3 linked regions of the Lytechinus pictus genome follow. The protein of the gene in region 1 binds, or shares a complex with, the protein of each later gene. Links are inferred from orthologs where the notes say so. Each region holds a gene or a part of one and is shown on either strand. Other genes may lie near its edges.

Region 1 (3,759 bases):
TCATTGTGGAAGCGGGGATAGTCTGTACAAAATATACCCTATATTTCAAGTTTTTTGTTAGATGAGACACGCATGACATATTGATCACTATAATAATGAAACACTAGGGCTTCATGTTGTTACGACAGCATATCATCCTAAGAATTGTATTTGTTCTTCATAGGATACTTTTAATTGCATTAATTGATAATTGACGCAACAATCTATGTCAAATGTGAATTTTGCTCCAAATTTGAACGTTGCATCATCCCCCAATATAATTTTCAATATTATTCAAAATTTTTCCTTTCTGCGATATTTTCGTTGTCATTTGCATCATTGCCATTTCCGCATTTTTTGAAGTTTATCGGATGAGTTGCCATGAGATTCATTTCATAAGGCATTATAATCGTTATATTCGCGATAATCATGATCCTATTTTTTTATATTCTCAACTCACTAATTTTAACTAGTGAGCAAATGAGTTTTCATTGAATAAATCTCGACTGTTTGATCATTATTTTTATAATATAACAACTTTATATCTATTCTACCTTTCGTTTTTGAAAAATTACCCCTGCTATATATCCTCTGCACATTGTCAATTAAAACGACTGAAGCAATTTTTTTAAGGCACTCGATCACGTTTGCTCGTCGCAATTTTCCCTTGAAAGACGTTTTTCAATCATCCTGACTTCATTCCAACTACTATTTACTGTAATTAAGTATATATCGATCACAACAACAGTAGCCATTGTCATAATTGAAATAGCTCAAGGTAACTGTCACCAATAGAGATGGTAATACTATGTACAAGGACATAGCTCTTGATGTGGTATAATTATTGCACACTTGAAAGACGTTTTTGGACCCCGGGTTTTGGACACCATTCTGTCTTCCAAGTACTAAAAATTTGCTCGCTCACTCGCATATCAATATAAACTGCATTAGATAATTTATATCACAAAAAAACTCAAATATACTAGCCATCGAAAAAACAATCATGATAATGATGGTATTGTACGTTATAATTTATATACCCCCGTGTTTTGGGTGTCCCCAAAATGTTGAAATTTCAGGTCAATATATTGCAATCATTCCACCCATGCTCGGACTGTATAGTGACAAAACTGACTACTAGTATATGCTAGTAAACAATTACTGTACTGTAAAGTAACTTTATAGTACAGTAATTGTTTACTTGCATTGTAATTCTCGAGTTTTGTGAACGACTTTTACCGAAATAAATTTTTGCTGATTGTGCGATACCATAGTTCACAAATCGAGCGTTCTGATTGGTCAGTTCTCGTTCATTTTTTTACAATACAATTTTTCCGCGGATTTTGAAGCCGTTGATGCGGAATCCTTCGCCTACGGGAACAACATTTTGCCGTTTTCATTCGTGTTGGTTCGTATTTTTGTTCACCTTTTCATCATATGTATTCTGTCTTAAACTTTAATTTCAAATGTGAATGACTGGTTTTGATGGAAAGTAGCTTTATTTCTGATCGTTTCTTCTACAGCCCGGCTTTGAATTTGACCGAGTTAATGTTGGCTTGATTGGGAGGGCTACGCAGCCTCGAAGGCCAGCCGCGCCCCGAGCGAGGCGGCGAGGCAAGGTTGGGGGTATGAAGGTGGGCCCCGCCATGGCCCATGTCTGCGCACCTAATTATTTAACCTCAGATTTAATATAGATTTCAATTTACTTCACAAAACTTTTTAGTTGATAATGTTCCTTATATTCTTATGAGTAAGTGTGCAAAAAATCTCATAAAAATTTGAAAAAAACAAGATTTTCTTAAGTTAATGATTTATCATGGGAAACAAAACTCAAATTTCAAAAGTTAACTTAAAGTTAAAACCAGGCCGAGGCCCGAGCCAGTCATTCACTTTTTTTTGGTTTCAGATTGAACAAAAAATTGTGCCCCATGATGTCTGTGCACAATAAAGTCTTTACACACGATTCAGCTCAGGGATTTTGATGAGAAAGGCTGCATATCAGTAGAGACTAGAGGCGCAAGGCAATATGGGAGACTCCAATAGAGGAGACAATTTCCCACATTGGAGACTTGCTTTGCAAAAGGACAAAAGAAACACCAACAAAAACATGATTTTTTCCACCCAAAATTTTGTCTCGCTGAGGTCAGAAGCCCATTTGTTTTGTGTGTGATTGACAACAAATATCCTTATCAAAACAAAAGTAGACGGTGAATTTTTAAAGTAGACGGTGAAAAGGGGTAATTTTTCATGAGGAATCTGCTTATCACATTTTTATTTGCCGCCAAGGTAATCCTTTTGCAGCAAATGTAAACAAAGGAAATTGATCTCCAAAACTGGAGACTGTGTCTGAAATTGGATACCCAAATTCTTTACAAAAGTCTCTGATATTGGAGATAATCTCCCACATTGGAGACAGTCTCCAATATTGGCCATGCGCCTCTACTGCATATTGAGGCTGTCGGCGTCACATGAAATGCTGAAAATTTCTGGAAATGGCTAAACTTAAGAATTCATTTTTTTCCACCACTGAGTCAGGTTTTTTAATGAATACCTTTCTTTCTAAATTCTATGAATTGCATCTGTAATTGTAAAGTTTGTGGCGAGCTATGGTGGTTGTTGCATATCTTCTTTTAGAATCGCGCAGATACACGTGTGCGCAGACACGGCCAGGGGGACCTTACCATACATGTAGGATACGTAGGCCAGCTTGATTGGCGATGTAGAAAGTTCTAGACTTAAAAATCTGCTGTTTCGCAGGAGTTTTTATACATTTTCTGATTTCTTTTTAGTCGTCCTGCTACACAGACTGGAAGTATCCCATAGGACTCATAGTGCTGGGGTGGTATTCTGAGATAAGCTTGTAACCGATTTTGCAATCGGCAACCGATTCCATTCGATTTCACCACAATCGGCAATCACTTGCCGATCTTCGATCATGCCCCTTGAAGGAAAAAATCGAAAATAAAAAATTGGCGTAGATCTGGTTACAGTGCGTGATCGCTCAGAACATATTTCAAGATTGTTTTTGAGGTGCTAGCTATTTGGAGGTCGCATTATTCAGGGAGAAAGACGCGGTATTATCTATGGCGATGTTTAAGAGGATAAATATCTTCTCTTCCAACTCATGGTGATAGCGGATGCCGCCGTGAACTTTGAAAGGTCGTATTACCGACGGAGCTCACTGCGCTACTCTCTTACCCCCTTTATAATGATATAAATCTTCTCTTCAACCTCGTGGTGATAGCGGACCCCGCCATAAACTTTTAAAGACTGTACTATTGACGGAGCTTATTACGTTACTCTCTTACATCGTTTATGATGATATACATTTTATTTTCAACCTCGTGGTGATAGCGGACCCCGCCGTGAACTTTTAAAGGTCGTATTACCGACGGAGCTCACTGCGCTACTCTCTAACCCCGTTTATAATGATATAAATCTTCTCTTCAACCTCGTGGTGATAGCGGACCCGGCCATAAACTTTTAAAGACTGTACTATTGACGGAGCTTATTGCGTTACTCTCTTACATCGTTTATGATGATATACATTTTATTTTCAACCTCGTGGTGATAGCGGACCCCGCCGTGAACTTTGAAAGGTCGTATTACCGACGGAGCTCACTGCGCTACTCTCTAACCCCGTTTATGATGATATACATTTTATTTTCAACCTCGTGGTGATAGCGGACCCCGCCATAAACTTTTAAAGACTGTACTATTGACGGAGCTTATTGCGTTACTCTCTTACATCGTTTATGATGATATACATTTTATTTTCAA
Region 2 (3,759 bases), on another chromosome or scaffold:
AGGGCAAACCATCCTCACAAAATCAAAAAAGCTTTTATTTGAATAAAAAAGTAGAAAAAAATAATTTAAAAGTACGTTTAATCTTAAAAATTGGATATGAAACGAGGTAGTTCTGACAGTGTTTTACTTAATTCACAAAGTAGTTTTATGCACAACCTGGTCGGTATCCAAATGACGTACCGATGACGAATTAACTCAGTGACTCACTATTTCTTTTGTTATAATAACTAACAAACATTTTCTCCTCACTTTTTCTCCCTGACAATTGCCACTCTTATAACACATGTTAAATTCGATGAAGCTAGAGTATCATTATTGTCAAATCTGCAAAAAGAAATAATGTATAATAGTGAGTGACTGATATCGATTCTCCATGATGATTACCACTGTGTTTTGCATAACTTTTTAAAAATAAGCGAAATTCCATAACTTTCTTATTTTGCATCCGATTTTCATCAGCATGCTTTGTCTCTTTTTACTCAATATTGTTGGTGTGAACATTATTTTTAAGAAGCGTTCAATTCTAATTAACACAAAAAGTCACAATTATTATATGATTTGCATAAATGAAACAAAATCTGAAAAAGAAAAGTTTACATTTCATATAGGATAATATTTAAATAAAAACGAGCTAGGAAGGTAATAGGTAGTCCTATGCTGCATACTATAGGGCATCATTTTTTAATATATCATTTTAAAGGACAAAAGTTAATTTGAATTTTTAAAAGAGAACACTAGAATTTCATCATAACCAGTTGGAATTAATAAAAAAAAATATTTTGTCAATAATATACTTTAAATTTGCTTAATTTCACAAAATGTGCAGATATATCGTGCACGTAAAAATCCTGTTCTGAGTCTGTATAGAAATGAGGGGACTGATGACGTCATTTATTTTGCTTTTTTTTTAAAGATTATATATTTTTATTTTCTCTTCATTGTCCATGAAACAAACTTTTTATTCCTCCCTGAACATATGTCGAATATTGTTTTAACATTTCATATTGTTCAGTCAAGTTGGTTCTCATTGTCAAATCCTTACAAATGAAATAGGGCCTAAATATTGTATAATTCACACAACAAATTGAGGAAATAACAAAATAGTGAGTGCGGGACATCATCGTACACCCTAATTTGCACAATGAGTTGTCATGAAAACTGTTTTGTAAAAAATAAGCGAAACTTTAAAATGTCACAATTTTCTTATTAACTCAAATCAACGTTTTCTGGCAGCGTACGTGGACTTGAATTTTAAACAACCCCGACACAAACTTAAACATTTTTTTTGGGGGGGGGGGGTGTTTGGTGAGAGTTTAGTTACTTTATTAAAATATTTAAACCCGACCGAACAGAAAATTTCCCAAAATATTTACTAGTATTTGAATCATTGTGATGGCGCAAGACAAAAAAACCCAACATCATAAACAACAACTGCAAAGCCTGCCTTCGAGCTTCGCGCATGCGCAGACGTCAACCGCCAAATAACCGGGCGCTTTGAACGGAGCGGAGTGCAGTGCCGCAATACAACTTTTCAAAATATTATTTTTTGGGACTAAATCTCAGGAATACAAGATGTATATCAAGGAAATAATCATCGATGGATTTAAGTCATATGCACAGAGGACGGAAATCAAGGGATTTGACCCTCTCTTCAACGCAATTACTGGATTGAACGGTTCTGGAAAGTCAAACATCCTCGACTCGATTTGTTTTTTGTTGGGGATCTCCAATTTAACACAGGTGGGACTAAGGCTATTTTCGATGTGAAAACTGAATGTTCTTTGAAAGTTTGAGTTTGAATGAGATCCAGACAAATAGGCAAATCACTCGTTTATGAAAATTTTGAACAAAATTTACGTTAGACCATAATTGGCCCCTTATTTAGATTTTTCTATGCCAAGCTATGAATTTTAGCCTAAGTTTGTTACTTTAGGCCTAGATTTTTGGCATTGTCCGGATTTGTCGATCAGATCACAACTTCTCAAACATGAAACAGATCCCATGAATGATGAATTGACATGATGAAAAAGAGGATTAGCTTGGCGGCAAATAAAAATGTTATAAGCAGATTCCTCATAAAAAAATCACCCTTTTTTTTAGCTTTTCACCGTCTACTTAAAAATTCACTGTCTACTTTTGTTTTGATAAGGTCTAGGATTTTTGTTGTCATCCTCACACAAAACAAACGGGCTTCTGACTAGCCAGGACATGCAGGAGGCTCCTGGAGAATAAGAATTATTCTACTAACATAGGCTTACTCTCCACGGAGCCAGGAATTGCGTCCCGTTCATGCGCGTGTGCACCGCGAAAAAAACTGAAACTTTCGCCCCCGAGATTTCTACTTCTAAACGATCTAGGCCTAGCCCACTTCCACTTCCAAACGCGGTTCGTGGTGCGAGGTTAGTATACTAATACTAACCTCGCAATACGTGTGAGTGGGCCTAGCCCTAAATCATGTAAATGAGATACAACTTCATTTCCGACATTTCTACGATATTGATTTCATTTTTAAACAAGAATTCATTAAAAAAACCGAGAAAAATATGAAAAGACGAGGAAAACTTGCCACCGCGGTTATGTCGCCATCTTGTTTTCTTTGTCTTTCGCCAAGACGACAGCATGCATATCGCGATATATGCAAACAAAGGCGCACTATTACTATATAGTCTGAAAATGAGGAATGCATGTCCTCGCGCCTCACAAACCAGTAGAGGTGCTGGTCGAAAAATTGGGATTGTCCCAGAAAACAAGGATATCCTCATAAACCAAGACAAATCATGTCTTGATGAATTGAGACTGTCCTTGTATGGGGACATTTTTTTTTTTTCACTTACTCCTTCGGGACATATTAGATGGCAATTTGGGGGATTGAGAGTGCTAAAAATAGATTCAGTGGCCTCAATTCCCCTACATGTAGTTCACCATCTATTTTTCACGACTTGCTGTCTCAATAATAACAAGAATAGAGTCAATAAAAAAAAGAAACAAAACTATTCAAGAATTTGAGTGTGATATATCCGAAAGCCATGTATTACTTTTTAAGATTCTTGTATCCTCATTTCTGATAACCCATTTTTGGCAAAATGTGAGAATTTTGAATATATGGCCTCAATAAAATTCAATAAAAGGCTGATTGTCATCTGGGTCGTGCTGTCTATGATTGCTGTCGTATTGAGCTGAGATATTGTGTAACGGGCAAGATTTATTTTTAAAATATAGTTGCGAGTGAGCAAAAATTTCGACATTTTCTATACAATAGTCTGTGATAAAATTCGACATAATAAATTCAGAAAATAATTTGCGATTTCACCCTTCTCTTTTTTCTTTTCCTTTATCTGTTTTTCTTGGCGGTGATTTTTTATTTTATTTTTTTTATTATTTTTTTTTTAGGGGGGACAAGTTCCCCCAAGCCCCCCCCCCCCATCTGTATGGTACTGTATATGATTGATTCATTGATCCATCTTTTTGTTGTACTAGGTTCGAGCTGGCAGCTTACAAGAACTGGTGTACAAGGGAGGCCAAGCCGGTGTCACAAAAGCAACTGTCACAATAGTCTTTGACAACAGAGACAAGAAGCAGAGTCCAGTAGGATATGACAGCTTTGATGAATTCACAGTCTCAAGACAGGTAATGATATCATGGGGTCGTTTTCACAAAAACTATTATCCCTGCACAATCAATAGCAATTTTGAGGAATTCAACTGTTCTCAATACACTGGAAAATTTACCTCAAAATTTTTGGCCATCAACTGCAACCTT
Region 3 (3,759 bases), on another chromosome or scaffold:
GGGGTGGACTTGACCTTTAAAAAAAAAATAGCAAGCATATCCTGGGGACCTAATCTGGGTCCCAGAGTTGTGATTGATCCAATCACCCTGAATTATATGGCAATCCAGAAATGTCATAACTTTTACTACCAGAAATGTGCACGATGTCCTTTGGTAACAAAGTGGAGGGACACTAAGATGTCAAGACAACAATGAATGTATGAGTAAACATATCGAGAAAACATTTTGAACAAATATGTGGGTGTTGCTGGCTTTCCATAGTTGAGGTTGATTGGATAGCATCTCTTTTAAAGAAGGACTCCTGGTGGGTGTTTCATAAAGCTGTTCGTAAGATAAATGACTTTACGAACGACTGGTGATCCTTTCTTGTGCTCTGTGATATCCCTATGTAATTGAGTTATGACCTAAGAACATGTGTAAAGTCGTTCGTAACTTTACGAACAGCTTTATGAAACACCCACCTGGGCCCCGTCTTACAAAGAGTTACGATTGATCCAATCAATTGTAACTCTATGGAAATCCATCATTGTGTTAATTTTTTCTACAGGAAATTGCACAATGTCCTTTGTAAACAAAGGAAAACACACCAAATTGTCAAGAAAGCAATGACTTTATGGATATACATTCATATCTAGAACAATCTTTGAATAAACATGCATTTCATATGTTGACTTTGCTGGCTTTCCATAGTTGCAATTGATTGGATCAATCACAACTCTTTCTAAGACGGGCCCCTGGTATGACTTACTCTTCATTCAGTAGATCAAAGTCCTCCACCAATCCCGAGACGGGAACCTTCTCGAAAATGGTCTTCAGGGCGAGCTCTGCGGTAGCGCAGGAGTTCTCAACATCCAAGCGCTTGAGAAGATCAATGGCATTACCATCAAAGGCTCTAAGCCAGCTCTGAAGCATCTTACCAGAGCAGATGTCCTTGACAATGTCTAGGTTACAAAGATAACATGGTTGACAATGAAGTTTAAAAAACTATTCTGCAATATCCATTTCTTATGAGGGCTTTTAATCAATTAACTATGTACGAAAGATTTTGTTTGTGTTCACGCAAGTCCTAATTATGGATTTCATTAGGGCATGCATGAAGCAGTTCAATTCCTGGGGAAATTTTGGTATTTCCCGCTCTGGTTGGAAACACTGGGAAATATTTCAGATGTACAGGGAGTGCATGTACAAGGAAATGCTAGAATATGCTGAGAGACAATGCCTGAAAATATTCAAGAAGTATAGTTTGTAGTATTTCCCTGTATTTCCAACTATTTTCCATTTTCCTCAAAGACCAGCAAAGGCAGTATTTACCGGAGTTTGCCAGTATTCACCGTCCCAATTTCCAAATCTGGCCAACCCTGATCAAAAATTTTACAAAATCTCGCACTACGTATGGTATTAAATGTGGACCAATTGTCTCCTTCAAATGATTTGTACAAATTCGTCTCGTTGCATTGTTTCAGGTGTCTTCGTTTGCTTTTAAAGTTCAGATTTACCCGGATCGTTGTCCAGCGAGAGTTAGAATTAGTTGTTGAGAGTTCCCACACTTCTGGATTCATCATTTCCAAGAAAGCAAACGTTCTGTGGTGATAGCTGTGTTACGATTTTCTGCTTGCACTTCAATTATTCGTTGCTCCTGCTTTTTGGCTCTAAATCTACCTTTTTTACAATTTGTGACTTTCAATACTTGGAAATCATAATACTCTTTCTGCTTCCAGAATATATTCTGTGCTGTTTTGTATCATTGTGGATTTATTCTTGGGACTTTACCATACTTTGGATATCATCAATTCGACATTATGTGACCCTGAGAACGATGTATTGGACACACCTAGTCCCATACACACTTTTGGATTCGCAAACCGAGCTAATCCTTCGTTGTTATATTTGTCTACCCTCGTAACACCAGGTAACATATTATCATCTTGTGCATGTTTAACTATATGAATTCAACAATATCCTCTTCTTCATATGATACTGAAGCTTCATAATGACTAAATCAAAACATTGCACGAAGATAAAAACTAATTCCTGCCATGGAACCATTGGTTCGGACGACTTTAGATGTAAACTACCAAAGCATATAACAATCTCAAGTATTGACGCAGTTCTTTCACATCTACTGATTCATGATATTACTGATGCTATTTTAGATGATGAACTTGTGGACTATCTTACATCTGAATTGGGGTCTATTTATCCTAATTTAAACCAGGATATAGCCCGCCATTTTAGTATCATATCTCTTCAAAATGGCCGCCCCAAACGTCCAGAAAGCTACAAGCCGAGCGTTAGGCAACACCATGACAACAGTTGCCAAACTGATGTAAGCGTTGCCATTAGCAACCATTATACGGAGCCCGAAACTAATCCTATTGAAGGGAGGTGCGAAACGGATTATCCTCCCTTGACCTCCAAAGTTTCTAATCCAATACATCGGGATGAATGCCCAGTGTTGGTGGAACCCCCATGTAATTACCCAAACACAAAGGATTCTATGGATGATTCACAACCCACCGAGGATTCCCCCGTTCTCGACTCTTGTGCCGAGCATTGCTCATCGTCAAATGATTCTCATGCGCAGACAGCAACTATAACTTCCAATGTTAATCTTCGTGAAAAATTGGATTATCTTGCACATGAGTTCAAGCAATTCAAATCCCTTGTAAATAGCTTGCTTGAAGCTATTCAATCTAGTCATGCACAGATATTTAACAGCCCCAATGAAAACACTTCTTGTCTTTCAAATGACCATCCTTCAGATGACCATCCTCAAAAAGACCCACCTCCCGTTCCAGTACCACTAACCCACAGTGGGAATGACGAAGCTTTCCGAACATCATAAGATTTCGATAAGCAACTTCATGATTACCGTTACAAACATAGTGTGAGATTTACTCATGAGTCTCATACCAGTGAGAATTTAAATTGTATTGAATCTGATCGTGTATTCGTTTCCGATGAGAAAATCAATACCCTTGTGATTGGTGATTCGATAATTAAACATCTTAAACCATTGTCAATGTCTAATCACAAGAATCGAGTCTACTGTAAAACTATCCCTGGTGCCAGAGTAGAGAATGTCTTCGAACATGCCCATCATCTTGCAAATAAATACCATGCAAAAGTAGTTATTCTTCATGTCGGAACCAATAATTTGATTAACGCTGATCCTAGCATGTTAGTTGTACAGATTGAATCTCTTGGCGATCAGATTTTAGCTAACTGTTCTACTGTTTCAACAATTGTCTTGAGTTCCATCATCCCTCATAAGACCTTTCAAAAGGAACTTGAATGGAAAACCTACGAGGCAAACTAGCTGCTTCACCAGATGGCACTGCGAAGGAACTGGAAGTTTATTGAACATAGATCCTGAAAATCATCTCGCCGCAGATGGCGTCCACTTGAACGCTGAAGGCGCTAGACTGTTTGGTTGTGCAATTTCTTCCCATATAATTGACACTCCAAAAACTCAGATTGAATCCTCTGCCACTCCACATCCTTCCTATACAGGATGTTACAACTGTGGTGAACTCAACCATAAACAGAGAAATTGTAGATATGAATCAAAATTACAGTGTAACTCTTGTTCTCAGTATGGCCACAAAGCCAAGTTTCATCGTTTCAACCAAAATTTGTAATTAGTTGGCAAAGAAGATTTTGCCGTTAATGAGCATCTATCCTCCCTCATATGCTCATCTCATAATATGACTTCAAACACATCTGTAGATTGTGATCCTTCACAGTCTTCAAACACAT

The links.
Region 2: condensin complex subunit 1-like (region 1) and structural maintenance of chromosomes protein 2-like share a complex: the UniProt entries of both Homo sapiens proteins name them as parts of the condensin complex. The link is inferred for Lytechinus pictus from reciprocal best matches to the Homo sapiens genes NCAPD2 and SMC2.
Region 3: condensin complex subunit 1-like (region 1) and condensin complex subunit 3-like share a complex: the UniProt entries of both Homo sapiens proteins name them as parts of the condensin complex. The link is inferred for Lytechinus pictus from reciprocal best matches to the Homo sapiens genes NCAPD2 and NCAPG.

Annotation. Positions count from the first base shown.
Region 1 is NC_087258.1:13,124,368-13,128,126, reverse strand, and holds the start of condensin complex subunit 1-like, read left to right. Parts: upstream 1-1,280; 5' UTR 1,281-1,387; intron 1,388-3,759. UniProt on the Homo sapiens protein: Regulatory subunit of the condensin complex, a complex required for conversion of interphase chromatin into mitotic-like condense chromosomes.
Region 2 is NC_087255.1:14,795,651-14,799,409, forward strand, and holds the start of structural maintenance of chromosomes protein 2-like, read left to right. Parts: upstream 1-1,463; 5' UTR 1,464-1,572; coding exon 1,573-1,740; intron 1,741-3,477; coding exon 3,478-3,627; intron 3,628-3,759. UniProt on the Homo sapiens protein: Central component of the condensin complex, a complex required for conversion of interphase chromatin into mitotic-like condense chromosomes.
Region 3 is NC_087256.1:26,511,877-26,515,635, reverse strand, and holds the start of condensin complex subunit 3-like, read right to left. Parts: upstream 2,351-3,759; coding exon 2,323-2,350; intron 942-2,322; coding exon 749-941; intron 1-748. UniProt on the Homo sapiens protein: Regulatory subunit of the condensin complex, a complex required for conversion of interphase chromatin into mitotic-like condense chromosomes.